Drosophila melanogaster: one gene and its partner. The protein of the gene in region 2 interacts with the protein of the main gene of each other region in a pairwise test. Each region holds a gene or a part of one and is shown on either strand. Other genes may lie near its edges. The genes, in order: CG10164 and CG4270.

Region 1 (16,934 bases), on a different chromosome or scaffold from region 2:
AAAATATATTAAATGCCATCTCGTGCCATAAATTCATGTGGCTTTTCTGCGGCTAAGCGTGTGGCAAGGATAAACACACACAGGCACTCGAAAAATCCCTGGTCGCTTGACAGATTAGGAGCTAGGATATCGATGACAATTGATGGCCGTACATTTTATTCGTGCAACTTTTTCGAATTTGTTTCGATCGGAACAGAGTGAGTCGTAAAAGTGTTTCATAAACTGCAGCTGCCGACCTCTAAAAAAAAAAAAAATAACATCGAATGAGGCGAATAAATAAGCTGCGCATGATTGACAATGCAAATTCATTGGGGAAATGTTTGCTGATGTTGTAAAATTTATTTCCCCCTGCACTGTACAGCTGGCAGCCCCTGACGAGTGTTTTCTTTGATGGCCTTTTCATTGAGTGCTCAACTAATAAAGTTTCGCATATGTGGACAAATATCACGTGCTGGGAATAAAATGAGTTTATGAGCGAATACAAAAAGATGGAATGATACTAAGAAACATGCAGGGGCGTTGAGGGCAACTAAAAAGTGTTTATGGTTGGCTCTTTTTTTTTATGATTCTCAAGGTTCCGGGAGTTCTTGGGTAGCAGGCTCAAACTATTATAAATAAATTATCATTTGCCTAAGCCGACACGAAGACACGTTTGATGGGGCTCATTATTCTTTCGGGCCATCATTTGCCTACCACTTTAGGGTGGGGCTTAAATTAAATCAACATCGCTGGGAAAACACCGTGAAAAATGTCCATAAAGTAAGTCGATGCGGCAAACAAAGGCCGGAACGGAACGGAGGACATTCATCGACATAAAACTTAAATTTTTAATGCCAGCCCTACACGCCCCCCTCTTTTACCAACGCCCTCAATGTGTGTCGTTTCAGGTGCAAGACACATAAAAAATAAATGAGCACAGTACAAGAAAAGCGGCGCGAAAGGAAAGCCAAACAAAAATACAAAGCTGCACGGCGTGGAAAATAAGTGGAAAGCCACGGCGTGCCACAATTGTGCGGGTAAGGGATAAAGCGGGCGGCGGGCGGTAGGCGACACAAAAGGGCGTGGACGCCCCCTGCCACATTTCCACATTTTGTCACCCAGCCGCGTAACTCGCGACAATTTTTTATGGCAAACAAATTTTGTTTTTGTTTCTCGCAGCGCCACAAACAGAAATCGAGCCAAAGGCGAAATCGTAGGGATTCTTGCCGGAAAAGGAAATGAAAAAGTACTTAATATTTCACAAAAGCTGCAGTGAAAGGCAATTTACAGAGAGTAGCGACATCGAGTGGAATATGACAGACTAATGGAAATTGAAAGGCAAATATTTAAGGAATAGCCAGCAAACAGAATTCAAATTCAATGGTATTTCCCAAAGGACTTGTGGGTTACCCACCAGAGTTCCGAATTCCGAGTAAGCTCATCAGTGCAACATCCATAAATAGTGGCCTGGTTTGGTCAGCCCACCCACATTTGTGCGGGACACGGTGAAAAATAATCTATTATTATAATAGCTTGGGGACTAGGAAAATGGCTATGAAAATTCCAAAGGGTGCTCAAAAATATTACTTCAGGGTTTTACACCTCAAATGTGTATCGATTACATGAAATATGTGGTATTTCTTCTATTTACTTCTTATGATATTTGGTAAAATATAGAAATACTCTCGCAGTGCACGTATTACCCGCGAACTGGTAGTGCCTGCATTGCCAAGGCAACTTTGTGGCTACAGCTTCTGAGCACCTCAAGGACCAAGGAATGGTAACCGCAGCTACAGACGCGACCAAACCCACGAGCGATCCTTGAACGCCCTCTTCTTCGGTGGCTTCCAGCCACGTCCCCCTTCGTCCTCCTGCCAACGCGTCAGGATATGCCGCCCCTACAAGTTGCCACCCCAGAGCACCCACAAAAGATGGCGCGTGAGCCGCGAGAGAAGTCAAAAAATTAAACGCTGTACACAAGATTTGTTGGCTGCGAATGTGGCACCCACGGGGTCTCGACATTAACCTACAGGCTCGGGCCACCAGTGCGTATGAGTGATGCGCACAAGGAGACGCCTGTCTCTGTCATGAGAAAAATAAATGTTACATGTGAGGCGAATGAACTCCAAATTGATTGGACCTCCCGTGTGTGTGTGGGTGTTTGTGCGTGTGCCTGGAGCTGTACTATAAATATTGAAATAATTAAATTGCAGTTTAATAAATTAAATGGAAGAGAGCATAAATATTTAAGCTGGCAAATGTGCGCCTGCCATCCGTATAACCTAATTATGAGAAAACCACTTAAGCTCCTTAATTGCACAAAGGCGAAAATGGACGGTTGTGACACGTGGGGAGTTCTCAAATGGGTGTGGTTAGTCGAGGGGTCTGCTAGTTTATTCACTTCTTTTCTGATTTAAGTTCAAGTCTATCTCGACTGCAGAAAGGTAATGTTCGTGAACTTTCAGACTTCCAGCAGTCGTGGTCCCAGTTTGAATCCTGTCGTATTCTCTACCGCTTCCTTTGTAGACATGACGAGAAATTTAAGGAGCAGGGAGCAGAAGCAGGAGCTATCCCTAATCCCAGGGCCATACAACTCCCTCTACGGGGATGCCGATTCGTATTGTTGACTGCGCCGGAAATTAAGCGCACCGGCAGGAGGAAGTCTGCCCTAATGTACTAAAGTGGAATAACGTGTATGCCATATCTTGAAACATGCGGATGGCAGTAAACACAGATATATATATACAGATAGACAAACAGATACAGATACGGATACTCCGATACAGTTGCGAATGCAAATGCCGTTAGTCCGACACCGACAACAAAAAAAAAAAAAGAAATATCAACAAGTCCCATGTAAATTCTACCTGACTTTTAGCTTGGCTCGAACTGGAATTGCTTTTCATTCGATCCAAACTCCAGACAGTGACATTTATTCAAACTACACGGCTGCCCTGAATTTTGCATTACGGGAAAATTCACGTCAGTTACGCTGCGATTTCGCTTATGATAACAATTTGCCCGAGGGCAAAACTTTCCGGCCGCCGCGATGCCAATCATATGAGAGAAGGCAATGCCAGCATAATTTTTTCAGCTCGGCGATAAAAACTTTCCCCAGCGAACGAGCGGAAAATAGAGAAATGGCTGGGAGGGGGTGCGGAAAAGCAAATATGAAGCTCGGAAAAACTGTTTGACGAAAAAAAAGGCGACATATAATTGGAAAACTTTCGGTAAAAGGCGATGGCGACAAGGCAAAGTGTGAAGAAATATTTAAGTTCTTGCAAGTGGCGTGAACTAAATAGAAAAAAAAATCACTAAAAAAGCTCGGTAAATGAAAAAAAAGAAGAAAACGGGGTCACTTTAGGGCGAGGGTAGTCACTTAACTATTTATGGAATTATTGAAATGTCGATTACCTTTCTCTGGCCAATCGATACCACAATCGAAAGGGTATAAGGAAAATATATTAAACCGAGAAAAGGTTAAAATACATAAAGTAATGGCTAGTGGGTGGACTGGGCACACAGATTGATAAATATAGCCGAATGCATAATTTAATTGACTTTTATGGGTGCTCCGGCAGCAGCCCCACAATTTACACCATTGTTTGTTTTTGCATATAATTTCAATTGAATTTTAATTGAAATTATGACGACTCCTAGCTCCACTGAGCCAGACTCAACTGGGCGGCACTGAGCCATTGTTTTCCTAACCGTAGTGCTTTGTTTACGCGCCCCGGCAATAATTTTGCCAATGGGCTGTGGCTCGTGGGTTGTAATACGGTGGGTGGTTGGGTGGTCCGCCCACAATGGCAACCATTTAGCATATTAGAATATGCATTGTTTGCGCCCAACTACGGCACACGCAATGTGCGACCACCCAGGAGGCTCTGTTCACGGGGGACGAGGATCGAATTCTGTTTAGGGCTCGCCAGGATGTTTCCTAATAGCCGTCACTTAAATTGGCCAGGGAATTAAATTTCCTCGTTCCCTAACCAAGTGGTTTCCAATAGCACCTATACTATTTTCATTGTATCCTTGTAGTTTGATTAAGATGAAGAAATTCTACAAGATACAGTCATGGTCAAAATTATTTTCACAAAGTGCATTTTTGTGCATGGGTCACAAACAGTTGCTTGTGCAGCAAGTGGGGGGAGGTGAAATGCAAAAAAACTTTTGCTTTTGCAAATTCAAACCTATGCAGAGTCAGATGAAAGAAGAATGGAAAAAATAACTGTTCCTATGCGCAAGGAAGAGGCAAATGAAGAGATCTTTATCAGTTGTCAGAAGTATTTGCACACGGTTTCGTCGCATCACAATTATTTTCACAACGCAATTTCTTCTTCAGTGATTGGTTTAGAGTGACAAGTGCCGGTTTGTTTGCTTAAATACATTTAAATTATTGAATAAAAATTAGATTTAATCATTTTCCTATTACAGTTATTAAATAAAATGCCCAAAACAAAAGAGTTAACAGTTGAGGCCCGGGCTGGTATTGTTGCTAGGTTTAAAGCCGGTACACCTGCGGCCAAAATAGCTGAAATATATCAAATTTCGCGTAGAACTGTCTACTACTTAATAAAAAAGTTTGATACAGTTGGCACATTAAAAAATAAAAAAAGATCAGGCCGAAAACCTGTGCTGGACCAAAGGCAATGCAGGCAAATACTTGGAGTTGTGGCGAAGAATCCTAGTGCCAGTCCGGTAAAAATTGCCTTAGAATCAAAAAATACAATTGGCAAACAAGTTAGTAGTTCTACAATTCGTCGCAGGCTAAAAGAAGCTGATTTTAAGACATACGTTGTTCGCAAAACGATTGAGATCACACCAACCAACAAAACAAAACGTCTTCGATTTGCGTTGGAATATGTTAAGAAGCCTCTTGACTTTTGGTTTAATATTTTATGGACTGATGAGTCTGCATTTCAGTACCAGGGGTCATACAGCAAGCATTTTATGCATTTGAAAAATAATCAAAAGCATTTGGCAGCCCAGCCAACCAATAGATTTGGTGGGGGCACAGTCATGTTTTGGGGATGTCTTTCCTATTATGGATTCGGAGACTTGGTACCGATAGAAGGAACTTTAAATCAGAACGGATACCTTCTTATCTTAAACAACCATGCTTTTACGTCTGGAAATAGACTTTTTCCAACTACTGAATGGATTCTTCAGCAGGACAATGCTCCATGCCATAAGGGTAGGATACCAACAAAATTTTTAAACGACCTTAATCTGGCGGTTCTTCCGTGGCCCCCCCAAAGCCCAGACCTTAATATCATTGAAAACGTTTGGGCTTTTATTAAAAACCAACGAACTATTGATAAAAATAGAAAACGAGAGGGAGCCATCATTGAAATAGCGGAGATTTGGTCCAAATTGACATTAGAATTTGCACAAACTTTGGTAAGGTCAATACCAAAAAGACTTCAAGCAGTTATTGATGCCAAAGGTGGTGTTACAAAATATTAGTATTGTATTTATATAAAATAAAGAAATTCTTATGTTGAAATTAGATGTTAAGCTGAAATTTACTAAATTAAGTTGAGTGAAAATACTTTTGAAGCGCAATAAACATGTGAAAATACTATTGACAACTTGCATGCATATTTTCTTTTGCTTTAAGCTTTGTACTATGAACCGTTATCTTTCGTATTTCTTTTCGACTACCTTCTGCATAGATCAAGCTAAGCGATAAGAACTATTTCAGGCAAATCGGACAACAACAAGAAGAAATATAACAAAAAGAAGTTGAAGTTTGCAAATATTGTGCGTTGTGAAAATACTTTTGACCACCTCTGTATGTTTTCCCAGAGCCAACGAACTGAACTTGGTAAGTGTTTATTAAAGGACTTTGCCACAAAAGGACTAATCATTGGATAATCAAAAAATGATTGAACAAGTGTTAAAAATATTTTATAGGTAATCATTTTTCTCATGTTACTGAAAGTTGCAAGACTAGCGAACATATTTCAGTAATTTAAAGTGCCACACATCCATTGTTCAACATTTGTTTTTATTAGAGTTTTCCGAACTCAGCTGCCGGTGTAGTTTTACTTTTTCCTGTCCCTTCTGCCTCGTAAGTAAGGAAAACAAATAAATAAATTTCAGTTCTGGCCAGGGCACTCACTCTCACACACACACATAGCCACATGTGGAAATGTGTGTGTGAGGTTGCCTTTCATAAATTTGATATGTATGCGAATTCCTTTCGGTTGTGTGGTTGGGGTTTTGTTTTTTGTCAAGCGAAACCCATTTCCTGGGACTCACATGCTGCCACCAGGTTTCATCTACATTTGCAATTATTTTATGCTCCGCATTTGCCATTTCGTCTTTAATTAGATTTCCTGCCCAACCCCTAGCACAAATTTGCACTTGCCTTTGATGGGGCTTTCATTAGCCCGGCCTTGCGTGCCGTTTGTCTTGCTGGACGATAATTCCACTTTGGCGAACAAGGGCTGGCCAAAAAACACTTTAAGCCCTCTTCGGCTGGCTCACATGCATTTGCTATTGGGCTCTCGGTGTCATGCTGCGACATGCACTACTCGCCACGAAAACATGCAATTTGCAATGGCCATTTGCGCGACCATCAGTCAGTGGGACGCTAGAAACTTTAATTGCCCGCACACGTTTTAGCAAGCTAAGAAAGCTCGATGGAAAACACTGAGTAAAACTCGACAAAATCGCACTCGCCGCAAATGTGTTTTCGCGCCTTAGTTTTGGCCAAACTCTGACACACGAACGTGGACCTCAGACACCGAATGCCACTCGATATAATAGCCTTTCACCACGACGACGACCGCCAAGCACGTCCTTTCGCCAGCTCGTAACGAATTCAACTGAATCGCCACGGCCAGGAACAGCTCGATTTGTTTATGAATCGTCGTGTGCGCTTCGAGCCGAGTCCTCGGAACTTATTGTTCTGGGCGGCAGAGAGAGCTTTTTAGTCCTGTGAGTGGGGCTGCGAATATCGTAAAGTTAAGAGAAAGGGCATTTCTAGTGCTCTGCCCTTCACGCTCAGTTAAGAATTAAATTCTTGGTATGATACTTACTGCTTTACTTTCAAATTTTTGCTTTGCTTTAATTTGCTTTGTTTTAAAAAAGCATTTACTCTCACAATTTTTAGGGAAATCGTAGTTTTGAGTTCAGAGTTGATTATTAAAAATATAAATTCTTTATACAATTTAAGAAAGAAATTGCATATATTTATTCGTTTTCTGCTGTAATGAGTGAGAAAGTATTAGATGGAGAACAACATTTTCGTTTTCTTATTTTTACAATATAATTTAAAGCATTGCCGTAATTGTCAGGCGCAGTGACTTTCGAAGAACCATTTTGAATATCAAAATTTGGGAACACCAGCTCCCGGAATACAGGATTGTCCATTCCTATAGCTCCACATAGATGATCTAAATTGAACAGAGTACGCCTTTCCCCAAGTAGCAGGGGCCCTATCCGTATTCCTGGTCCCATTCTAGACACAAACAAAAACATTCACAGCAGTCGAACAGACAGCCCAAAGACACTCCCACACCAGCTGTGTGTATGCGGTTTAGTTGGCCAACCGCAAAATTCTTGGCAAACAAAATAAAGAAAACTAACTTGGGCCGAAGCAGAGCAGATCCAAGCGGCAACGGAAATTGTTAACCTTTGGGGATATCAAACATTTACGATTGCGTGGCAGCGGCAGCAACATTTAAGTTTTTATCAGCACAAAATAAAGTTTTGGTTTACGGATTGTGTTCCTGTCCGCCAACGCTCCTCCTACTATCCACCACTTTTTGGCCAGAGGCAGCTACAAGTGCCCAGGAGCCAAGACAGGAGCAAAATTCAGGAGCAGAAGCTGGATCAGGGGCTGAAGGTTCGTCCCTGTTGATTCTGGGGCACGCAAAACTTTTATCCTTTTCAATTTCGTTTTTCTTCGCCGAGTACTTTTGAGGGATTTAAATTTCTGTTTGCAGCCGAGCCAACAGCGAAACAACAACCGTGGGAGTGGCAGCATCGAGTTCGTGGCGACCAGGTGAGTGTTTCTTGTTGGCCTAATCACGGCTTTGCCGACTTGGCCACAATCAAGCACAATGCGATTGGCGCTGCTAATTTGACTTGAATGATACATAAAAAGGTGTACGAAAAAAAATTAGGAGGCTTATGTGAAAATGTGATGGTAGAAAATAAGTATATTTTTGATTAAATATTTTTAACAAATAGTATTTTTTAGTCTAAAAATAATTATTTTTCAGCCGTCATGAAGAAGAAGAGTCGTAGAGATCGGACACCAAAAGTAGAACAACCTGAACCATCGAGAGTTGTCAACACGGAGCCTATTCGACTGAACGTGGAACCCCAATCCCAAGAGATAGATGACCAGGCTGCACCATTTATTTTGGTAGACTGTGCGAAATATGAGGATCGTTCAGATTTGGAAGCAATGCTTAGTTCCATAGAAAAGGAACGGATGAAAAAGGTTCAGGCAGATATAGAGCAGCAATATTTTCCCCTCCTGGAGGATGAAGAACCACCTCCAGAATTAGATATGCCTATAAACCTAAGCTCTCAAGCATTGGCTGTACTGAATGATGCAGATAATGAGCGCCGCTTTAAAGAGGATCTGGAGAGCCTTAGTATTGCTGGACTGGAAGAGAAAGATACATCCATTAGCATTACCAACATGAAAATAGAAGACAGCAAACTATTGTTTCGGACTATGCCAGGTATGAATCAGATTTGCTGCACGCTAGAGCAGATGAAAAATGTTCATGGGAAAATTGGACCAGCAGAACCAACTCCACAGGCACGTTGCACCAGCTTGATTCCACTTTCAGGCCTTCGCCGGCAAGACACCTTCGAAATTAAACGTAAAAAGAACCAAAAGATTAGATATCCCGAGGTTTCCACCAAATCAGCAATTAGCGAAAGGAAACATCTACCATTAATTGCCAAGGGAGGAAAATGTGAGAAAGTTATCTCAGAGACTGATAAGATTTTCAGCCAGATTGGCGATCTTCTCGTGAAACTGCAGCTCCAACACGAGGGCAGCAAAGTCCTGAACAAGGGATCCTCTTATTCCTACATGGTGAACATTAAGCCAGCTGGAGGTGCATCCAATTGTTCAGTTTATGCGCTTACAAAACTCAAATCGCACGAAGTAGAGGAGACGCATGCCGAAAATCTAAGAACTTCTCACGCTCCATTGATCAACATTTTATACCCTGGTCGTGGTGGACTTATGGAGACTTCTGAGTTGTCCACGACCGCACGATGTATCGATGGAAGCTCCATTGGGTCGATGTCCCTTCGCGAAACGCCGTCCTCCAAGATCAAACCATCATTTTTACGCAAAAGGCCCAGTTCCCATCTAAGGGCACCTAACCCTGTCAAATTTTGCCACGGCAGGAAGAAAAATTAGGCCGCTTGGTAACCATTCCGCAAATTATTTGTTCGAAAGCCATTTATTTTCTATCGACATTGGAATCTCCAAATAATGCTTACAAATTCATATGTTGGTCATTCAAAAGGATCTTGAATGGATATTTTATGCAAAAATATATCAGTTGCCAGAGTCTAATGAACGGTAATAATTCAACAAATGCATACAATGCGGCCATAATATAAAATATTAAGTGATACAAAACAAATATATATTTTTATAAGCCATTAATTAAAAAATAACCTACATTTTGGTTATTAATGGTCTCTTGGATTTATTTCCACTAGGGTCAATTAATAAAATTGCAAGTCTGAAACCCAGTTTAAAAGATCAATATGCTGTTTTCGATTGAATTGAATTGTACAGCGCAAACAATATTTGTTTTTTCTTTATTCATCGCAAATAAACAAGTGGTTTCAAGTGGTTTATTTATTTGCCATTTTAAATTCATCACAAAATGCACAATAATTATATAGATGTTATCGGCATTCACATTTTCAATTACCCTCGTATTTTAATTTATTGTGTTGTAATTAAAGCGATTTAATCATATTCAATCGCCAGAGTCCTCCAATCAAAACTCGTGCACCTTTCTGGAGTGCTTCCCTGCATAAAAGTTGCATCTTGTCCACTTCCTGGAGGAGTTGTCTAATTGCATGGCCACGCACTTTCATTGCTCATTTCCGAGTTGCCCTCAAGTGCGTGGTTGCAGCTCATTTTGTTCGGTTTGCACAATTGTGGCCAAAGTGTTTTCAACTTTCTTCTGTCAATGCGCCCGGAGGTCGAATCCGAAGTCCGTGCCTCACCCGAAAATCCCCTCTTTCGGTTTGGGTTTGGTGAAATGTCGGCCAAGTGCTGGGCTTGGCTTGTGCCAGTTGGCAGACGTCCTGCTGCAGGACCTTAAAAACCTGCCTGCCTCCTGTCATTTGTCGTTGGCCAGAAATTGCAAGATTGACTACTGGGCTGCAGAGGGTGAACAAGTGGGTGGGCACAAAAGTTTTCATTAGTTTTAATTAAATCCCAAACAGCATTTCCATGCTGCACTCTTTCGCTCGCTCGTTCTCTGAGGCGTGTGCTCTTTCGAGCCTTTGTCAATGAGTTTTCCCAACAAAACCGAATTAAAAACACATCAAAATTAATGACACTCCGCCCCGGGATGGCCAGGAGCCGGGAGCTGGTCAAAAGGAAGTTGCCATTGCCTCCACTGCCACTCGAAGTGCGGACAGCATTTGTGCAATTTATTTAGCCGGCTTTTTGCGGCGCTTCTGGATGCGCGCATGTTGCTAAATAAATTTCATGATTTACTGCAGCCATACGGGAAACGCGGACAAGAAGACAAAAAAAAAAAATGCCAGTTGCCAGTGGCCACAATGTTTATATAGTTGTCGAGTGGGCGTGGCGCATCGACGGGTGCGAGAGGCGGGGACGTATGCCATGAGCCGAGGCTACATGAAATTTGCAATTAGATTTGGCGAAAAAGGCAGCCGCAACATCCGCCCGGCGTCCCAGTTCCACTTGCAACCAGCAACCAACTTCGTTGTCGGTTCGGTCCGGACGAAATATTTAATGCGGAAAGTTTAATCGCAATAGCAACGGCAGCTGCAGCGTCGCATTTCCGGCATTTGTTGGTTTTTAGACTGCATTTCCCGCATTCAGATGGCAGTTGCAACGCAGGACATGGACATCGCAGCGACTCATGGTTGACATCATTAAATTTGATGTCCGGCATTTACTGGTCACCGCCTCTTGTCTTCGGGGGCATCCAGGATGCCGGGTCATCGGGATGACAGAATGCGGACGCACTTTCACTGCGGCCAGCCTTTGAGTGGCCAAGAAATTAAATAAATTTTTGATTAGTCCGGAGCCACATGTATATGTATTCCACACTGCTTTTTAGTGCAGAGATTTCCCTGGGATTTAGGTGCGCTCAGCGAGTGGTGGCTTAATTTTCTGGTGACCGCTTTGAAAGTGGGCTGATTAGCTTGGTAACTGAAGTTGCACTGGGTTAGTCGGAGCTAATGGAAACAGAATGGTGTCATTATTAAAGTAGAAGATTTTTCATTTTTGTAGAGAAAAGGAAGCCTGTAACAGTCAAAATTTCATCAAGTTTGCAATTAAGAAAGTGCAGCATCGACACTCAAATTTCGGTGAAGTGATAATCGGAACATGTTTTTCGCTGTCCTCAGCATCTCTAATTAGCTTTCAGCTAATTTGCAAAAAACCCCCGAGCGTGGGAAATGAAAGCCAAATAAATGTTGCACACAATTAGAATGCACAACAATAATTACATAATAAATTCGCCAACGCAACTGGAATGGCAACTGCAACTGCAGCTGTCTCAGCGGCATTCAGTGTCTTCCGGCGGCAGCTGCCACGAAATGTAAATGAAAATAAGTGGCAGGACGCCTTCTTCGTCCTGTATACTTCGCTCTTGTTGGCGACCGCGTTTACAAATGCCTTCGACTAGTTGAGCACTTGATCAGCGGAGAAGTTGGCTGAGGGAGCGGGAGCATGAGCTTCCTTCATCCATTTTACTCCGCATGTGGGCGACGGCGAGATTAATAAAATTTATTATCATTGCGATAGTGGCAAAACAAACTGAACGCCCCACACATCCCCCAAGTATTTATGTGCTAAAACCAGCTGGGAGAACATATCAAAATGAAGTAAAATTCATTTTACAACATTCAGACTGAGCTGAGTGAGCACTGAAACTGTAGCTCTCGAATGCAAACCGAAATTGCAAATGCTTCTGGGCTGCCATCGAGCTGAGGGCTCAGTGCTGAGAGCTCAGTGCCGGGAGATCCTCCAGTCCTCCAGTGCTCCAGCCCATCCGCCATCCCCACTCCATCTGCTCCATTGAGGAGGGGCAGAAAGGAGGAGCGCCGCAGGAGCAAAACGGAAGTTCGACGCCCAAGTGGCAGTCGCGATAATAGCGCCCTGCCATGTGCGCTAAAGTATTAGCATATACACAGGCGCACACGAACCGAGTGCTAGAAGAAAAACTTTTGACTGCAGCGCCGCTATCAGGAGACACATAAATATGAAAACGCAAGCGGGGCTTGAGAAATGCACTCGCAGAAACCCATGCCGGGGCGATAAATACACCACAAGCATATTTATATTTACTGCAAGCCAAATAAAATGGTTCTACTTATGGCTGAGGGGCAAGTAAATGGTTTGGTTAGACTTGGAAACAAGTTAAGATTTAAATGGGTCAAATGGACTGTTAATCTAAGTCTTACACTATTATAGACTACCAGCATAAATACTTTAATTTAATAGATGAGCTAATATAAAAAGGAAATATTATTTAAATATATTTACGTTCAGTTTTTCATTCAGGGTGTACACATTTTTGAATGTGAAACAACAAAGTATTGTATATGGGCAGTTTATAGTCATTAAGTATTTTAAGATATTATTTTTATTAATTTTTTTTATTTTTGACAACTGAGTTAAATAACTAAGAGACTTCTTGCAGTGCCGTTGAAAGGGTAACCAGGCTAGTGGCGACTTCCTAGGCAGATATATGGAGTGTAAAAGTGTCATTGCCACGCCCAGCGGCCATTACCCACCGCCCACAGCACGCTGGCAATGGAACTGCAACAGAGTGGAATTTGAATATTATTGTCACCCACACACACAACGCACAACCAAACACCAGAGCAAACACACCCAACACACCCCAAAGACCCAGTGGGCCATGGAGCAGGCACGAACACAGGTTTACTTGGACAGACCTCGACCTGGAGACCAGAAAGGAGATAGAAGCAGGACCAGGACCACAACTGGAACCCAGTATTTAATACTGTTTGTGTAAAATAATAGCTAGGCCCCCCAGAGAGTGAGCTAGAGCGAGCGAGGTGCGGCTAGTGTGCGACAGAGAAGCGAGAAATGCGCCCCTGGCGGTGCCGTAAATTCAAATTAAGTCGCCCAACTTGCTGACAGTTAAAATCTTGGTAACAAAAATGTGCAGAGGAGCCCACAGGAGAGATCAGCACTGCACTGGGCCACACTGCGTATGAGTGTTCCTGGGCTCTAGTGCTGCCTTCCTCGCTGTGTGTGAGTGTGCATATCGACCCTCTTGACACGTGTGTGTGTGTGTGTGTGTGCATGTTAGTTACCAGTTTGTTGAGCATCACACGCAGTTGGTTTTGAATTTATTGCCGCAAAATGCAGCAGCGAAAGGTATTCCCCAGAAGTGCAGATGGATTAAGTGAGCTTCATATACATATATGTATATCTACACACATACTGCATCCCACCCTAAGTGCGGGTGTGATTGCGTTTCATTTTAATTAAATACTTTGCCAAGCTCCCGCAAAATGTCAAGGCCTTCGGCTCGTGTTCACCTTGCTCTTCATCAGAACCTCCTCATCTCCACTCACCTGGAATGGCGAAGGCCCCAGCAGTGTGGTCAACTTTCATTGCCGCAATTTGGGGTCATCATCGAAATCAATAAACGCTACCAAAGTGCTTCAAAGTGCGATTTTAAGACTTGGGGAAAGAGAGAAATGGCCAAGCACTTCCCAGCACCAGACATAGTTGAAAGATTTCCCACCGTCCGGCAAAGTTTGTCTGACCAGGTCAGGGAATTGTGGTCTGAATTATGGGCAAGAGGAAAGAGGGAGGTGCAAAGGAGTGATTTCATCGCTGCTTCGATAGCCTAGTGGCAATTCCGCTGACACTCAAATGAAAATATATTGGAAAATCTGAAAGCAAGTAAAACACTTTATAATTAATACACTAAATAAATTTTTACAAAACGAATGTGCTTCAGTCTCTTTCCCAGTAGTGGTGAAATATTCAATGTGACAGAGCTGGTTAAATAATAGGTATATAGCCGTGGGTGTCTGCTCACCGGGGGTATCAAGTTGAACGTTTTATTGGACGCTTAAGTTTTACAATCAATTCCAGAGCTTATTGCCCGCTACAACCGAGCGCTTAATAATAAAACTCAATTTCATTTTGCTCCTCTTTGTGCCTCGTCTTACTCAGAGGCTCGTCCGGAAATTTGAAGCCAATTAAAAATGCATTCAACGGCAGCGCCAGGAAATAAGCGGCAAAAGAAAAATGAAAAGACAAATTGACAGGCGGTCGCTGGGGGAGTGGGGGCGTGGCATGCCCAGGACACTCGACAGCGAAAGCTCAAGGACAACTGGGGAGCAAAAGTGTCCCCAAGTGAGACCCGTCCAAGATACCGCCGTGGACGGGGCTGGTGCATTTTTTATGGAAATAAATATGATTGCCGTGATCCATGATCTGTGCAATCAGGCAAATGGACCAAATCGAGTATTTTAATCAACGCCAAGGGTCGGACCACAAAAAAATATCGCCGGCAAAGGCAAACAAAGGCAAACACTTGACGGGAGCATTAAAAGGATTGCAGCGCAAACAAAGGCCGGGCGTGGAAAGCTGGGTGGCTTTTAAATCCGAGGCCCCTTCAGGCGGGGGTGTGAATTTGCCGGAAAAGTGCACAAGAAACGCCACTTTACATGCCAAATCGTAAATATTTTGCCATGAAAACAGCACCGGTGGCTGTCGGCCTGGAGTGGAGTGAAGTCGTTTCATTTCAGCCATTTTTTTTTTTCCACCCATATCCAGCTCTTCTTTTTTTTCCCTCCCTCATAGCCCACCTGTAAAGGCAACTGTCGCCCCAGCCAGTGGCAGTACGCATCGAGTGTGAATGAAGTGCGCTCTTGGGCGCTTTGCGGCGTTTTGCCGGAGTAGGAAATGAAAAACACTGGAATAATACACAGCACGGCAATGCCGCTCCAAATGTGTTTTTTCTCTGTTTTTAGTACACTTCTCTATGACACTTGGTGGCCAGCAGGGTGGTTGCTAGCTGGAGATGATGCTTGTCGAGCAGGTTGCCTAATGGCAAATGTTTCAGGGTTTAATTCCATACGTGGACCCAGTAATCCTGTCAAGCCTCGAAGATGAAAACTAAAAATCATTTCTATAGACTGCGTCCTATGAGACAGTCCTTTATTGCACAGTTCAGCCAGAACGTTCTCTATTTTATTATACATTTTATGTTAAAAGCTTACCAAATTTACCTTTATATTTCCACAACAATCGCTCACTCTCTATAATATCCGTTAAAAAACGAGTTGGCCAGAAAGTGAGACCTCATAATCACATAAAAGACATGTGATGCCGTTTTTAGCAGCTAAAAGCTGTGCGTTACCCCGACCCTACAACCGAACGCACTGCCGTTGGCAGTCAAGAGCAGTCGGGTGCAACATAATATTCAAGGTGGCTTAAACGGGCGGGAGGGAGAGAGGCAGTTTGGTTTGCCAGGGATTGAGCCCGAAAGACTGTCAGCTGCGGTCCAGCTTTAATTGTGGATGCCACAAAATGCCTTAAGGTGGCTTTGATTCCCAAGAGGTCGGACTTGCAGAGCCCATCGTTGCGTTTATTTCCCGCTCATACCTTGCCCGTAATCAATTTAGATGGCAGTGTATTTCTTGGCTGCAGCTGTATCCTTTACTATCCGAGGAGGAGAAGCTTCTTGGAACAAAGACCTCCGCCTGGGGACAGGAAATGCATCTTGGCCCTATCCGGACAGCTGGCTGAGCTGAGCTCCTTGGACTTGGCCAAGGCCCTTTCATGCTGTTGTTCATTTTTGACATAAACATTATGATGCATTCGGTTGAGTAATTTTTATTGTATTTTTTCCCGAGTTCACCCGGCCGGCCAGCCTCCTCGGCCCGGCCCCCTTTGTTGAGCTGAGCTATCCGCGGGCTGTTTCAATGTGTACTTTGGAAATTCTGCCCTTTGCCTGCTTTAATATGACCAACAATTCTCCAGAGCTTTTGCGGTCATTTTGCTTTTATTAAAAAGTATGAAGTGGGGCCTCGTCCGGAATCCGCACTGAGGACTACTGACTTCGTACCCTCGAGTGCCATAGTGGCTGCAGTTGTTTATTATGTGCAAGATTTCTATGGTCGCAACGAGAGTTATTATTATTTTGCCATACATTTATTTATGTCCGCCGATGTCGTGTGTGTTCGGGGTCCATACGCACAATAAAGAATGCACAATGTGGCTGGGAGCGGGCATATTGTTCGCTTGACTACAAACGTTTGCTTATTCTCTAATCAAACAAAATTCAATCACTCGAAATTCATTGCATACTTTCGAGAGACAAGCGCCCGAAAGGGGGAAGATGATTTACAGTGCCTTTATTATTCATGAATTTTAAGGACTCGGGCGAAGGACTTTGGGGACTTGGTTTTTTTGCGATTTCATTTTGTTTGATTACTTGTTGTTCTTGTCGGGGATTTTGTTGTCGAGTATGCATGTTATTGTGTATTTCCTTGCTGGCTCTGCAAATCCCCAAAAGCTTCGGCCAACTGGCTTGGAGATAAGTGCATTTGTCAGTCATTCAATCTGTGTCCCGCCCCCTCCATTTCGGAGTACAAATCCTGGTCCTTGTCGTCGCACGCTTTCCTCCTGGGTGAAACACCAATTGTTTTCATTGATTTTGTTTCAGCAGCTCCCCTTTTTCGATCCCCATGTGCTG
Region 2 (15,017 bases):
CCTCCTAGCATCCCTTTCGGATTCTGTGCTAATGACATTTCAACTATTTTAATCTTCTCTCTCACTTGGCATTAATTAAATTGCAATTTCTTTTGCCTGTGGTTTTTGCCCATACACATTCAAGTATTTACACAAGGAGAGAGCCCACTTTGCGGCCAAAAGTTGGGCAAATCCACGAGGATAAGCCCCAACAACTTCCGATTAAATTGACAACCCAATTAGCTAAGGAGCCTCCGGGCACACCATAAATACTTCGAATATCCGGCGAACAAACAACAGCAGGAGATTGCATAAATCTCCAGTTGGAAGGGATGAAAAAAAGAATAAAGGGAATGGAAACGATTGCCAGGATAACGAAGCGCCAAGGATGCCGCCTGTCTGCATTAACCCGATGGCTGCTCTTGGCATTATTTAAAATCACAGAGCCTTCAAATTGCATTTTAATAGAATTTATTGCGCCGAACCGATTTCGCCAAGCGAGAAAAATACCCAGAACGGATGCGGAAAAGCACAAAAAATAAGGGGACTGCAACACTTGACTTTCCATGTTGTTTGAAGCAATAAAATGCTATTCTCAAGCAGTCGCATTGATATGCCGCCACTGGGGAAAATGGAGGAAATGGAGGAGCGCGGAAAATATACTTGGTATACGATAACAATGCCAGCTCCTCTCAGCTGAGCTCCTGCTAAGGATAAGAACCGGGCTCAGTGCAGCGGAGCGCATCAATTCCGCCATTTCCATTTCACAATTCAAAATGCGAAATCCGTTGCCAGGACGAGAGATGCACAATTGCAACACAAATTATTACTTGGCTTCGCTCCAGAAGGCCTTAAATTACAATTTGCGAAATATATGTATACGTCTTGCACAGCAGGTTTCCCAGGGAAAGCGGGTAGCGGAAGGCGGAAAAACTGCAGCCACAGGAAGCCATTTAGTTCGGCTTTTCACCCCCACGGCGTGGCCATAATTCTTTCATAAAAATCAACAGCCAAATGGCAACTGTTGTCTGTCGCCCGAAAGATAAACTTTGCTCACCACTTTTGTAAATAATTTATTTTCACTGGTCACCACTGAGTATGCTTGATAATCGTAATTACTGTAAGAGGTTCCCAAGAAATGGCGAAAGAAAAGCATTTCTCTGGGAAATTAATGGCTGCAACTCTCACAGCTATATTTGAACAGCCAATTTGCTATGAAAAAAGTATTTATAACACCGCAGCAAAAAAATATGTTAATTTAAATGATATAACCAATTACTATGCCAACCTGACTACGAATTTATCTGCCTCCACAATCATGCTCTAAAATTTGAATCAGTAAATCTAAAGTCGTATGTAAAACGAAAGCGTGACTAAACAAAAATATCAAAATTACTCTATATAAGATAAAGCAAAATGCATTTTGTTAGTAGTCTGTGATCTCTACGCGGTGGTTGTAGAAAGTATTTCTTCAAAATGCTGCTCAAAGGCATTCTTCTATTAGTTTCCATTGCTCAAATAGCAGCAGATTTCAAATCGATTGGCATTGAACAAGCTCCCTGGCAGGCTTCCGTTCAAATAAACGACAAACATCACTGCGGAGGAGTGATATACAGCGAAGATATCATCCTGACCATTGCCGAGTGTGTGAGAAAGGCCAGATTGGAATTCATCTCGGTGCGAGTGGGGTCTGCCCAGGAAAACGCCGGTGGCACTGTGCTGAAGGTCGAGAAGATGAGGCTGCAAGTACTTGGCCTGCGTCCCAGTGATGTGGCCATACTCCAGCTGAGATCGCCGCTGTACTTGGACGGCGGAATTCGGGCCATTCCCTTGGCCACCATACCATTAGTGCCGGGAACGAATGCCTCCGTTTCGGGTTGGGGTCAACTCTCTGCCATGAATCCTTCGTCGGAAGTTTTACTGAGAGTCGATGTAAAAATCCAAGATCAATTGATGTGCGCGACAAACCTTGCTCTGAAGGGCAGACTTATGAGTGTGGGCGAGATCTGCGCAGCACCTGCGGGAGAAATTCCCTACGCCTGTCAAGGATTCGTCGGCGGTCCTTTGGTTGCCAATAATCGGCTGTATGGAATCCTTTCCTGGCAAAGTGCCTGCGACGTCCTCAATAAATCTAGTGTCTATGCCAATATCGCGATGTTCAAAGTGTGGATTGAATCCACTGTTAAGCTAATGAATTTCTTCAGAATAGGCTAGGCATTTTAAAACGACCTTTAAAATATACGTTTAAAAAATCAACAGTTTGTGCTGCACAAAATTGGTCAAATTGTTTTCGCTCAACCATAAAACGCACACACATCGTTTTTTATTTGCTGGTTTCGCTGCGAAATTGAAATTTAATTCATTTGCATTTTTTCTATGATCTGGGAGAGAGCGGCACAGATGAACATTATTAATACGGCCCATAAGCCCAATAAATGCTCATGATTCCCCGCGTTGTTCTCATTTTGGTTCCTGCTCTCGCTGTATGGCTGTGCATTTTTTATGGTTATGAGCCTCATTGTGTTGGCCATTAAAATTGGTATTGTTATGACCGTTGTCAGCCATGAGTCATGAGGGGTTTGACCCACAGCGGAGGCCAGAGCCACTAAGGCCAGGGATGCAGCTGGCGATCAGGAGGGGATTTTAAAACGAACATCTAGATAGATAAAGGATATTTAAGAAATACATTGCTATATCTGGTAACTTAACTCAAGATCATCTTAAAATTTAATTTTCTTTCAGTAAGAATTATAATCTGGAGCTATTTTATGAATATAAAACTATACTTATACTTAAAACTTTACTTATTTCTCTCCATCCAAGACAAAAAAACACAGTTTTGATTTCAGCCTGGATTGGTTTAAAATCGGCTTAACTGCAACCCTGCAACTCAAATCAGCGGGAAGAGCAGCATCTGCATTGTCAGCTTAATAATTACAACACGCATACGAGCGCACACACACACACACTGACAAACAATGGCCGCTGCATCTGTGTGCAATTTGAACATGGGATATTCGCTGGCGAAGTGAAAAACTGAAGGGAAAAACCTGCTGGAAAACTGGCAGACATTTGCACGTCGTCAGCGTCGACACATTAAAATAAATGAGACTTTTGCCTTTAAGCAGCTGCTCTTGTTGGTGTTTCTGTTCTTGTTGTTGCTGTTGTTGGTTGCTGCTGCTGTTGTTGCAGTTGCAATTATTATTGCCGCTGTTGTTGCAATAGCATTTCCACGTTTCGCCCAACGCCTTGAAAATTACACGCAAATTACAATGCATAACGAAGAAAGCTTTCACTGAGAGGAACTTCCTTCGCCCTTCGACTTTCGGTTCCTGCCCCACAGCCTCCGTCTCCCGCTGCCACGCCCCCTCCCCCCCTGACCTCATTTACCCCTGGTTAACGGGTAAGAAGATGTGGTAGTGCGGGGTGGGGGGACAGAAATAAGTTACCCTGTCTGCTTAATTACATTGTAAAACTCATTGGCAGTCGGCAGGATTTATTGGCAGACAGTGCGATCCGAAGTTTTGGGTTTCCCATGGAAATTGCACACCTTTTGTTGTCCCACTTTCTTTTGTGGTAATTAAATTGAACTTTTGTCTGCGGCTTTTTGACAGTTGAACGCATTTAACCATTCGACGAGGTGTACAATGGCACAAAGAGTCCTGTGTGACGGCTGCGGAAACTAAGTGGTAAATGCGGCTTATTCCCTCAGGTGTTGAAATTTTAATATTAAAGCCAAAAGGATTTTCACTTTATTCGTATTTCACTCATCTTATGCCATATATTTTTGTAATTAAAATTTAATAGTTGCTTGAGTCTAATAGATTTTCCTTTTTTCCCCGAACTTCATAAACATAACCGCAACTAATTAAATATATTTATTGTAGGTCAACATTAAATTGAAATTTAATACAAAAAATGGGAAATTGTTAAAATCATTTACATAGAAGAATATTTTTTAACCGACCTAGCACGATTAAAAAAGGACCTTCGGTTCAGTAGCGCAATATATGTAACCATCACGTACATCAGGACACCAGAGGGTCCCTCTTCCTTTTTTGGCAGCTTGTGGAAATTAAAAAAAACCCAAAAAGCGCCATAAAAATTCATAGTATACTTTTTGGGGCAGGCCTTATGATCACTTCTTCCTGCTGGGATTTTGTTGCGAGTGTGTGTATGTGTGTGAATTTAAATTTTACCAATTTTTATGCTGTTGTTTTGACCGTTCCCATTTTGGTTGACTCGCTTTTGTTGCAGGCTGCTGAAATTTCTGTGGCATTACGCCAACCAACTTTGACGTGATGCCAGTAACACGTATATGTATCGTATACGTATCTGTCTGTGTGTCTATGGATATTTGCGATGGTGTGCTTGTCACTTGTTGACGGTGTGAAACTGAAGCCAACAGCGAAAGTCGCTTGCCGTTCGCCTGTCGCCCCTAAAAGTGGTTTATTGGGTTAACGGTTACGGTTACGGTTACGGGGGTTTCAATAATATAGCTCCTGCCTCACGGAAAGTGGCAAGTCGGAAAATGTTAAGGTTCTACGAATCAGTTTAGGTAGAATACCGAAAATTTGATTTCTCAGAGATTTTAAAGGGTATGGTTAATGACATTCAACATTAAATTATTCAAACGGTCAGAGAGTGCAGCAGTCATGTACAATATTTAAATAAAAAGTCCAATTACCAGTATTATTAGTTTGTATATTTAACGTAGTATTCATTACAAAGCCTAACGATCTGAACTCAATATCAATGAAAGCACGGCATGGAAATTGAATCATAAATATTTTTATCTCCATCAATTCATCAACAGTCCGCTAAAAAACATTCCCCCAAAACTCCGGGCGTAAAAAATTCCATTTTAATTTTCATGCCCAAGTGACAAACAGTCAATCAAAAAGCAGGCTAACTCGGTGGAGGTCAGAGGTCACGGGGAGAGGAGGGGAGCTTGCTGCTACCATAATTTCACCTTGACACCTTTGTGACCCGTCACCACCCGCTGCTCATACACGCCCCGTTGATATTTATGGCAGAAATTTAAAATTAATGATGTGTGACGCGAAATTGTCGCCAAAATAAACGGGAAAAAACAGAATTAATATTAATAAAAAAAAAGGAAAGCCAGGATAACGTGCGCTGGTGAAAGCGAAAAGTCTAGGAAAAAGCAACACCAGCCACCAGTCTCTTTAACTTCATATACAAAATAATTTCCAACTTACAAAATTTTCGATATTACTATGAATATATTAAATTAAATGGAGATTGAAAATAAAGTCCAGTCGGCAGAGAAATGTCCTTTGCAGATAATTCAGCACAATGACGCTACGTTTATTGGTTGCGATTCAAGCAACCGCGATTTGGAAAAGTGCCGCAGCTGCCTCACTTCCTTCTGCCGTAAACCCATTAAGATTTACCATAATTCCCGGAACTATCTGGCCTGCGAGGTCCAGAGATCACAATCTATAAATTCCATAAAGTCACTGCCAGTCAAATTTCCATCAACACCAAATAGATCACTTAACACAGAAAAGGATTGGTCGCATGGTAAAAGGTGTTTACAATGCGCAGCTCCCAAGTGCAAAACATCTTCCAGAAGTTCCATTCAGTCGAAAAAACTGAAAAAAGATAAGAAGTCTCTGTTAAAGGAATTTGAAATATACAAAATTCCTATCATTCGACGCAAGCCTATAAAACAAGCTGTACTAAGGGAAACCAATAAGTACCGAAGGCTTCACAACGCCAATCCCCTGAAAATGGATGAAAAACTTTGTTCCTATGCACAGGAGTGGGCAGATGTATGTAGATGTATTTAATATAAATAGATCCTTTCTTTTTCACCTAAACTTGATTTCCACAGCATTTGGCTGATCTGAACAAACTGGAAACTCGACCTAATCCTCTTTACGGCGAGAATATTATGCGTGTCCGGAGATCCAAATTCTCCGTGGATCAAATACTGAAACTCTGGTACCAAGAAAAATACAACTACGATTACTTAAAGCCAGGCTTTAATTTGTACACTGGACATTTTACCCAGTTGGTTTGGAGAGAGTCAGAGTTCCTGGGAGTGGGCGTGGCATGCGAGTGGGTTCATAATTTTAAGTCATACTAAAAATAATCCGAAACTAACTACATTTTACACGCAGTGTTTCCTCCATTTGGATTGTGTGCAATTACCATCCGCCTGGAAATGTAAGCGAACATTTCAGGGAAAATGTCCTGCCTAGAAAATTCCTTCTACTTAAATCGGACTTGGATGCCAAGGAAACTAGAAAATCGAAACATCACAATTTAAAATAGAAAATGGTAAATAAAACAAACAAATACTGGACCTAGATTACGCTTTTATTATGCTTAAAATTTTGATCAAAAAATCCCAGAGTTATTGCTTTGGCGGCACATTATCCTTGAACAAACCCACAACATTGCCGGGAGGATTGTAGTTGCAAACCACCCAAGTTCTATCCGCTCTATTGGAAGACATGTATGAATAGGATTACCATAGCCATAGCCATAAGACTCACTTTCGGGCCACACCCGAACCCATTTCCACCGACGACTTCCAAATGAGCTGAGTAAAGTGTCCAGCGGTGGGCACAAACTGCGCCTTGTTGAAATCGTAGCTATTGATTTCCCGATACCACATTTCCACCGGCAGATCACCGGTCACATCCATTCCACCGGAGAGGAAAATGTTTTCGCCGTACTTGGGATTGGGTCTGTGCGCCATTGTGTTCTGATCGCGGAGATGCTGGAAATGGGTGCAAATTAATATAAAATACTATAGAATACTCTTTATCCCTCATCCTACATTGGCCCATTCCTGAGCCAGCTTATTTAGTGCAGCATTAATGGTCACCGCGGGACAGCCGTGCATTGCCCGATATTTATTGGTGGTATTGAAGACCTCCTTCAGGAAGAGCTCGTTGTTGCCCTTGGTATCCTGACCCCTGGGACCTGGAGGGCGCTCGTGGGTTTTGGGAATGGGCGCTACGTTTCTCTTCGCCATATTTCTTTGGGGGATTGGCTGGCGCCGTGATTTAGTTAACCAAATTTACGTATGCCTAATGACTTTTTAAGCTAGCTGGCTAGATCAACATTTCTCGTTTTTAAGTTACAAAATTAAGTGGTTATTATACATGTATACAAGGCAGTCAATTAAAATTTTCACTGAGTTCTGAATAGCTCACCCATCAATCACAATGTTTTGTTTACAGCCGAAAAACCCTTTTTTCAAACCGCCTCATAATCTGGCCTAAACATCGGTATTAGCATTGTGATTGATACCGCAAACACAGGCTGTGGGTGACGGATTCACAGGACGTGTGCGTGCCCAAATCCATTGACGGGAATTAGACAGACTGTATCACACATCCTTCTTCTGCATCTGCCGATGGGATTAACCAACGTGACGTATGAGTGATGCATGTCACTGGGTTTGGTTATTAATGAGCCGGCGATTCTTTCGCAATCCAGCCATATGGCTGGATATGTAGGTGCAGGCAAATCGGGCAATTGGAGTGGCATTAATTGCCGACTGAATCGAGCTGGATAATGCGAGTTGGCCGACATGGAGGCCCCTTATCAATCGCCCGCAGCGCCGCCCATGGAAGTGCAAATTTCGATGTCGAAACACTCGGAATATTAAATTATTTAAGTGTGTGAGTGTGTGTCTGCGCTGCGGGTGGTGCTTCAAGTGTGAATCCCTAATGAGTTGTGCAAATGCAAATCAATGGACCGGCCGATGTCGCTGCTCCCGGCAGAGATTAAGCCGATGCTCCGATGTACAGATAGGCGGATACAGCCGCAGGACAGGCTGACTCGCTGAAATTATCCTGTGCGCCGCAAGGTGGATGCGGGGTCACAGCATTGCGTTTGATATACTCATGTGCCAGGCACTAAATTATGGCCCAGCTCATTGATTTATGTGAATTTGTGTACTAAGTACTTAAGTACTCGGCCATAAGCTTAAAGCTGGATAAAATAGTTTATTAAGCCGCGAATTTAAATAAGTATTAATGTTAATACAGATTAAAGCCAATTTGGTTAATTGGTAATATATAATTCAATCAATATCAAAGATTAGGATGAATTTCAATTCAATTAATCGGGAGCTCCCTTTTCCATTTCTTATTTTCATTTGCTCTATAGACAAAGATATTTTCGAAATGGATAAATGGCTCCATTTAAGCCGCTGGTAGAATTTCTGGTAATATTGTAATAAACTTTAAGCCTGCTCGCTGCATTTCAGGTTTCCATGGCCTCTGTCAGAAACGCGATGCACAGTCGCGTCATCCGCACAATGCACAATTCACAATTTCGGTGCCATCGGAGTTGGAAAATGTGTGGTTGGGTGGTTGGGTGGCTGGGGGATTGGGTGGTTCAGTGGCTGGGTGGCCAAATTGTTTGGGTTGTAAGCTGGCCACAGTCAAAGCGTAAAACGCAAAGCGCACACGTTACTTTTCTGTCGATTTAATTAATTTCGCAAATTTGGTTTCGTTTATTTATGCATTGCTGGTCGAGTGGAGGGTACAGTGCGCGCCATACGCAAAATAAATACACTCGCACTCTTATTTCGAGCATGCGGGCATTATATACATAGATGGTATCTGATATATCGTATCTGGTATCTGGGCAAACAGGCTCGCATTTCCATCAACCACACGGCATCCGGAGCCGGATGCACTCGGTTGCACATACGGATACTGCCTTTAATTCCGATTCCCATTGATTCGAATTGGTCATGTTTTGGCATAGGGTAAGTACCGCACAAAAAATGAATGCACAATTTAAAAAGTTCATTCTGAATTTGAAGCCAAACAATCTCAACTGCAGCCAATAAATGTATTCTTGTATTCCAGCAGATTTCATTGGTAGCATGCGTATTCCAATGTCGTTAAGCTTAAGTATTCCCAACGATTTCAAATGTTATAAGCTTCACATTCCACACCTTTTAGTATCACTTACTCTTTAAATCCATTAACAAAGTGCCAAAGGTTAATGAATAGCTTTTCCGCTTTTCCACTTACCGCCCACCTGGAATTCAATTAGTCGGATGCCATTCCAGTTGCCTTTGACCCTCGGTAATGTCAATTAGCGATAAAATGCAACAGAACAGAAATAAGTCACTGAAAAATCGAGCAAACAAAGCTCAACGAGAACTCCTTGAATCCTTGATCCCCGCGAAGGGCAGTCAAATGGAAATTTTCCATCTAAACGACATAAAATTTGCTACCAAATCGGTTTATGGCAAAGCGAAAAGTTTTTTTTTCGAACATCTCCGCCGCCCTACCAAAATTGTTTTTGGGCCAGGATTGCTATCGAGCGACTTAAAACTACAACAACGAACAATTTTGGGTTCGTTTCTGCGAACCACATTCTCATGCACGACTTTTTGGCGGAAAAATTTTTTGGAAATTGCATTTGCATGTGTGCGCCGGCAAAGTCTGGCTGGCAGTCATATTTTGCGCCTTTCGGCCATAAAAGCTAAAATGTTTGCGGCCCAAAGGAAGGCAGCGGGAGGAGGAGCAGGACGAAAAAGTGGATTACTAACGGTGGCCGCCGTCGCCAAACTTCAGGACTCTGCCACTCAGCTGCGTGCTACTTTGAGCCACCACTACACTTGGGAGATTTATTGTAGGTTTTAATATAAAATACGTATATAAATAGATTGGCATTTTATTAGGAAATTAAACTCATATTTAACCCATTTAAAATGAGCTGTAATAGAAGAAACTGAACGCACACACTCGCACCATTTTTCGCAGTGTAATAAAGCTCGATTGGTCTCCCTCTGATCCCCTGCAATCCGCTGTCACTGTGCCTCCATCCTTTTCGGCTGAATCCTGGGCACCGAGCACCTGTCTGCGATTTCTGAGCGCCTGTTCGGAATGCCACCTCCTCCGCAGGGGGAAGTGGAGGGGCTCCAAGGACTGGATGTTGAAAGGGGCGCCGCATCGAAATGCCCCCCCTTTGTCTATTCAATTGAGCGAGTTACAGTGGCACGGAGATCGCCTTTCCTCCGGCTAAATGGCGCTGTTTCGCCTTTTTTATTGGCTTTGCCTTTTGATGCAATGAACTTGGCTAAAAGCTATCGCGTCAATCGGTGGTGCAAATTTTCCGCCAGCGAGCAAAGTGGATGTGAAAAGTGCGTCGTATGTGGCGACGGATGGAACCAGATGAATGGCACCGGATTTAAGCACTATATGCTCGGGATTTTTTCATCAGCTGGAAATGTGGATTAAAAGTGGCCCATACACACATAGTGAACAAATAATAATAAGCCTTAATCTCGTAATACTCATGACGGCTGTCCAAAAATTACATCGTTTTTTTAACCGAACTTCGAACCTTTTGAAAGGCCATCATTGGCAAAGGCAGCTGCCAGTTTTTATTGAGCTCATCAAATGGTTATAATTCAATTTTTCCAATCGAGGAAATCGCAGCACGAATCGCTGTTCGCGTACGTTTAAATAAATGGCGATGGCCATAAGCACCGCGGACACGCCCTCGCCGCCCCCAAAATCCCAGCAATTTTCACAGTTTCCATGGGATGCCAACTCCCGAAACGAGTGAAACAATCGTCCATTTTCAAGTTGGGCCATAAATCATTGTGGCATTGCATTTGGTTGCATTGAAAGTTTCCATTTTCCATTTTCCCTTTGCCTTTTGCGTTTTCCATTTAGTTAGCAGCGAAAGAGTGAGGCGGGTTTTTTGAATTCAGTTGACATTGCCACATTAATCATACGCACATGCAGCCAGTTCGAAATGTTTCTTTAAAAGCCCAAGAAAATTGCTGACGTTTATTAAAACAATAAACAAATCATGTTGTTGCGTTGCCCGAAAAGAAGGAAATAAGACAGAGGAAAATGGAAAATGCAGCTAGGGACACATAAGCATGTGGCACACGTACAATGCATAAATATTTTAATTCTACCAAAATTTGCTGATAGTTTTATGGACTTGCCAACGAGACATGTCCCGAGCACTGAGGATCTGACCAAAAAATGCATTTCCATTTTTATTTATTTGCCTCAGCTGTTGACTGGCAAATAATTTATGTGCCTGCCTTGCATTTCAATTTATTTCACAATTTCCTTCTAGAATGGCAAAAACTGTGGACTTGGAATATGGATTCAAAGCTTAGTTTTGCGCAGATGAGAAGTTAAGTTATGAGGTGAGTCAGGGGTCCTAGGTGAATAAGTGATATCTAATGGTTTTCGTTAAGCTTTTGATGCGATCAAAGTGGTTTTCTTTGGTAATTGAATGGAGGAGAAATCTGAGAGATGATTAGATTATTCAATTCATGCCATCGGGACATGGCTCCTTTTGTGCACGACTCACCTGACAAGCTGACTGACTTCTTCCCTAACTAATTTGTCAAAACCTGAAAGTTCACAAAGAAACTGTCAAAGAAATGCAAGGACTTGGCGAAGCATAAAATTTCAACAAACATATGTAAATATTTGTTTACTCTGGCAAATAGTTGTGTTCCCCTCGAGAGCGAAAGCAGAGTCCTGTCCCTTGCATCCTCCATGTTTTCGCCCCCTTTCAACTTTGTCTGGTTGAAAAGAAGGACCCGGCAAAATTTCGATTACCCACTTCAACCCACTTGCTCGTGTACTCTTTCTCCAGGCTTTCCCCCTGCTTTTCCTTCGCTTTTCCTCTGCTGTTTACCGATTCTCGTTGCACTTTCCCAAGTGCGCTCCATTGGGATGCAATTAAATACTCCGCATGAGCGGACAAATAACAGTAGCTACGACTTTGAACCTTCCCACACCCCGGTATCCTGGCAACCTTGAGGGGAAGGTATCGTAAAAATGCCGAAACCCAGGGAAAACAATATTTGTATTGGCTCGCTTTGTGAGCTGCTCGGTTCTTCTGTTTGTCATTTCGAGATTCTCCCATTGCACATTGCCACAGTTTGCCAGCGTTTAATTAAAAAAGCCAATGGTTGCACCGCACAGATATTACAGGCCATCGAATTCTACACAATTTCCTCGCTTCTCCTTTTGCTATTTTATTGCCACCTGAACTTTTGTTAACCATAAACATGCTAAATGCTAAAGAAGAATCTTATTACTGGCGTTAAAGGCCGGGCTATTATTCAAATTTAAAGGTTTTTCCTGTGGAAAACAGTGACAAATGCCGCGAGTAAATTTCCCATGCTTAATGCTGCGAGATTTTGCATCTGGTGGGTTTTCCGAATGTCCTGGCAAGGAGCGCAGCTGTTGATTCGCTGCGTTGACGTATTTTAATTTATAATGCAATCACTGGCTGAAATCGGCTCGTATTGGAATTCAGGACATCCCCGAAGGGGCGAAGCGTTTGCATCTCCATTTTGCTTAACGCCCCGTGGTAACCCTCCTGTCTCTGAGTGTATGTGTGCTGTTGGAATGCACTGAAAGAAAGCTCAGCAATTGGAAGATCATCTAAGAATATTTCTACTCTAATAGCTTAATAAAAATTGGGAATATTGCAACACACATATGCAATATGAATTTATATCATTTCCTCTTATATTCTAGGTACCCAACACTAATGGCTTTCTTTTCATATTTCTCTCAGTGTAGCGGCACGCGTGTTGTGTCACCGTGTGTCGCCTTTTCCCCGACGCTGTGATTTGGATTCCCTATTTCTCTGCGTGTGTTTGCCCTCGTGAGATTCACAACGTGACAGCGCACAAGTCCAAAAGTGGTAATGCGAATGGGGATACCAAGGATACGAAGGATACGCCGATGTTGGGGCGAAGATCCTTTGGGTTGACCCACGGGGCCTACACCTGGGAAGCACAATGACTTCGACGACGACAGCGACACGTGCCAAGGACACTGATTTATATGTTTTCCATTTTTGTTTTATTAGCGGCCTCGCATCCATCCCCCCTCGGCACAACCCGCCCGACTTTTCCCCGGGAAAACGTGCATGGAATTAATGAGGACACGCCGCTATCTCATTCCAGCAGCTGCAACCCGAGCACCACGGGCATTTTTGTCCGCCACTTTAAAGCGGTCTGCTGAATGGGCAAATTAAAATGAGCATGAAATAATCATAAATTGCGCATTGGCGCATTAAAATTTGCATCGCTTAAAGTCAAGCCTCCATTTGCCAGACGATTGAGTGGGGATAAGCTGAGTGGGAAGTGGGGCCAGACGGTGGATTTCCCGACAGCTCTGGGCGCCACCGTCAAAGTGTCAAAGGGGGTGGTGCTGTGGTGGTAAAAGGTAAAGCGGAAGCTGGCAGCTATGGCGCCGGAAATGGCTGCATATATCCTGCGAATAGGAAGCCATCGCTATCGCCAACGCTGGCAATAGTTTTGCGGTGCTTTGGTCGCAGTTGCATTTGTATTTTACGATATGAATAGATCGCAGATTGCTGGGCTGCCGGGAAAAGGGCTATTATGGGGATTGTGGAGGCTGTTCCGCCAAACTATTTCACAAGGATTTAATCTATAGGATGTTAGGGTTACTTGAACACTAGAAAGATGAATATTGCTTACTTAACTGAAATATTTTTTAAGTTTTACTACCAAACTGAATGTGAAAGAGTCCTCTTGTGTTGTTTGGAACACTCCTGACATTCAGGACTTCCCCATTCCCACAGCTTCTTTATCAACCAGCCACCAGATTTCATTCGCTGGCCAAGCGGCGAACAAAGCCAGAAAACCGCGGCGAGATTTTCATTTCAATTTGCTGCCAAAAATGCCCACAGATTTCGACGAGGGTTTTCCATGGAAAGCGGAAAATGGCCAGTGGGGTGGTGGTGAGCAGCAGACACGCAGTCGTTTGGTCGCTCGTTCGCCAATTTAGTTTTAACGGTGCAGCTGCTGCTTGTGTTATCATTCAATTGCCGCCTGCACTGAAATTTTGCATACCAGGTACAAGGATTAGAGATGCTGGCTTAAACGGGTAAATTCAAACTATGCCTGGTAAATATTCTATGCTATACATAAAGAGAGCTAGATTCAGAAGTAACTTAAAGATATCTTATATAAATTAATTTTAGTTAGTTAGCGTATATGACTGCACTGCATATGAATAACCATCTGAGAAAACCAGATATGCAATGCTTCAAGAACGACTGATTTTCCGAGTGCATCCGATTAGTATCCATAACCATGAGTAATGACCACTCCCGCTAGTAACTCCCATCTGCAGCTAAGTCGAGGATTTTGGCCGAATTCCGGTCGGGCTTAATTGGGCGAGTGCAATGCTCACTTGGAGCGAGGCACTTGACTTGCCGGCCGAACAGCAGCCTTCGATGGAACGCCTGGCAAAATTAGCTTAAGTTACCCCCGGCGCAGTCGTATCTGCTCCCCATTTCCCTGACCCCGCCCAACTCCCCCATTACCATTGTCACCTCGACCCAACAGGCGATAGTTGTTGACAAGGATAACGGCCCGTTGGGTATTTTGACCAAGCGCCAAGTGCATGACTATCTGATTGCATTCTATGTGAATTTTGGCCGGAAAAGCGTTTAAAACATCGAACTGCGTGGTGGAAACGTGCTCGGAATTTAAGCTGCACTGCGAGAAAATGGTTTCAAATGTTTAGAAACGCAATATCCTACAATTTGAGCCTAGACTGTGATATTTTTGGATTTTTCCAGTGCCTCTGAACCAAAATAGAATCCTTGGTTTAATTCAATAAAATGTTAAAACAAACTTGTTTCTGCGGCCACATCGCTTATGAGTCAGCGTTTTAAATTGCTTTTGTTCGCTGCCTGAAGCTCCATGTCCGCGGGCCACTTTCAGCTATGCTGCTCAAAAGTCTGGAAAGTAATTCTATTAAAAATATCAAAAAAAAAAAGTAATAGCCACGCTCGGCCAGAAGAACTAACTACATAAACTAATGCGTGGAGTGGGCGGGGTTACGAACTCGATAGCATTTTAGCTGGATAAACAAATTTCTTTGGCGGGCGAATATGAATTTCCATTAATTTGATGGATGCTCCGGGCGCCAAGAAGTGGATGAAATGTGTGATGGCACTTCGAGTACAACACCATGCACCCCACGGGGCGTATGATTAATGCAATT

Evidence for each region.
Region 1: the proteins of CG4270 (region 2) and CG10164 interact in a two-hybrid assay, tested with the Drosophila melanogaster proteins (2 studies listed by BioGRID).

What each region holds. Positions count from the first base shown.
Region 1 is NT_033777.3:23,547,295-23,564,228, reverse strand, and holds CG10164 (uncharacterized protein), read left to right. Parts: upstream 1-7,285; 5' UTR 7,286-7,996; intron 7,997-8,216; 5' UTR 8,217-8,221; coding exon 8,222-9,382; 3' UTR 9,383-9,906; downstream 9,907-16,934.
Region 2 is NT_033779.5:2,255,532-2,270,548, reverse strand, and holds CG4270 (uncharacterized protein), read right to left. Parts: upstream 7,108-15,017; 5' UTR 6,992-7,107; coding exon 6,794-6,991; intron 6,734-6,793; coding exon 6,507-6,733; coding exon of another isoform or gene 6,503-6,506; exon of another isoform or gene 6,464-6,502; intron 6,453-6,463; coding exon 6,365-6,452; 3' UTR 6,308-6,364; downstream 1-6,307. Other genes in the region: CG17242 (uncharacterized protein), read left to right, coding at 1,456-2,193; CG34049 (uncharacterized protein), read left to right, coding at 5,238-5,777, 5,840-6,066, 6,129-6,282.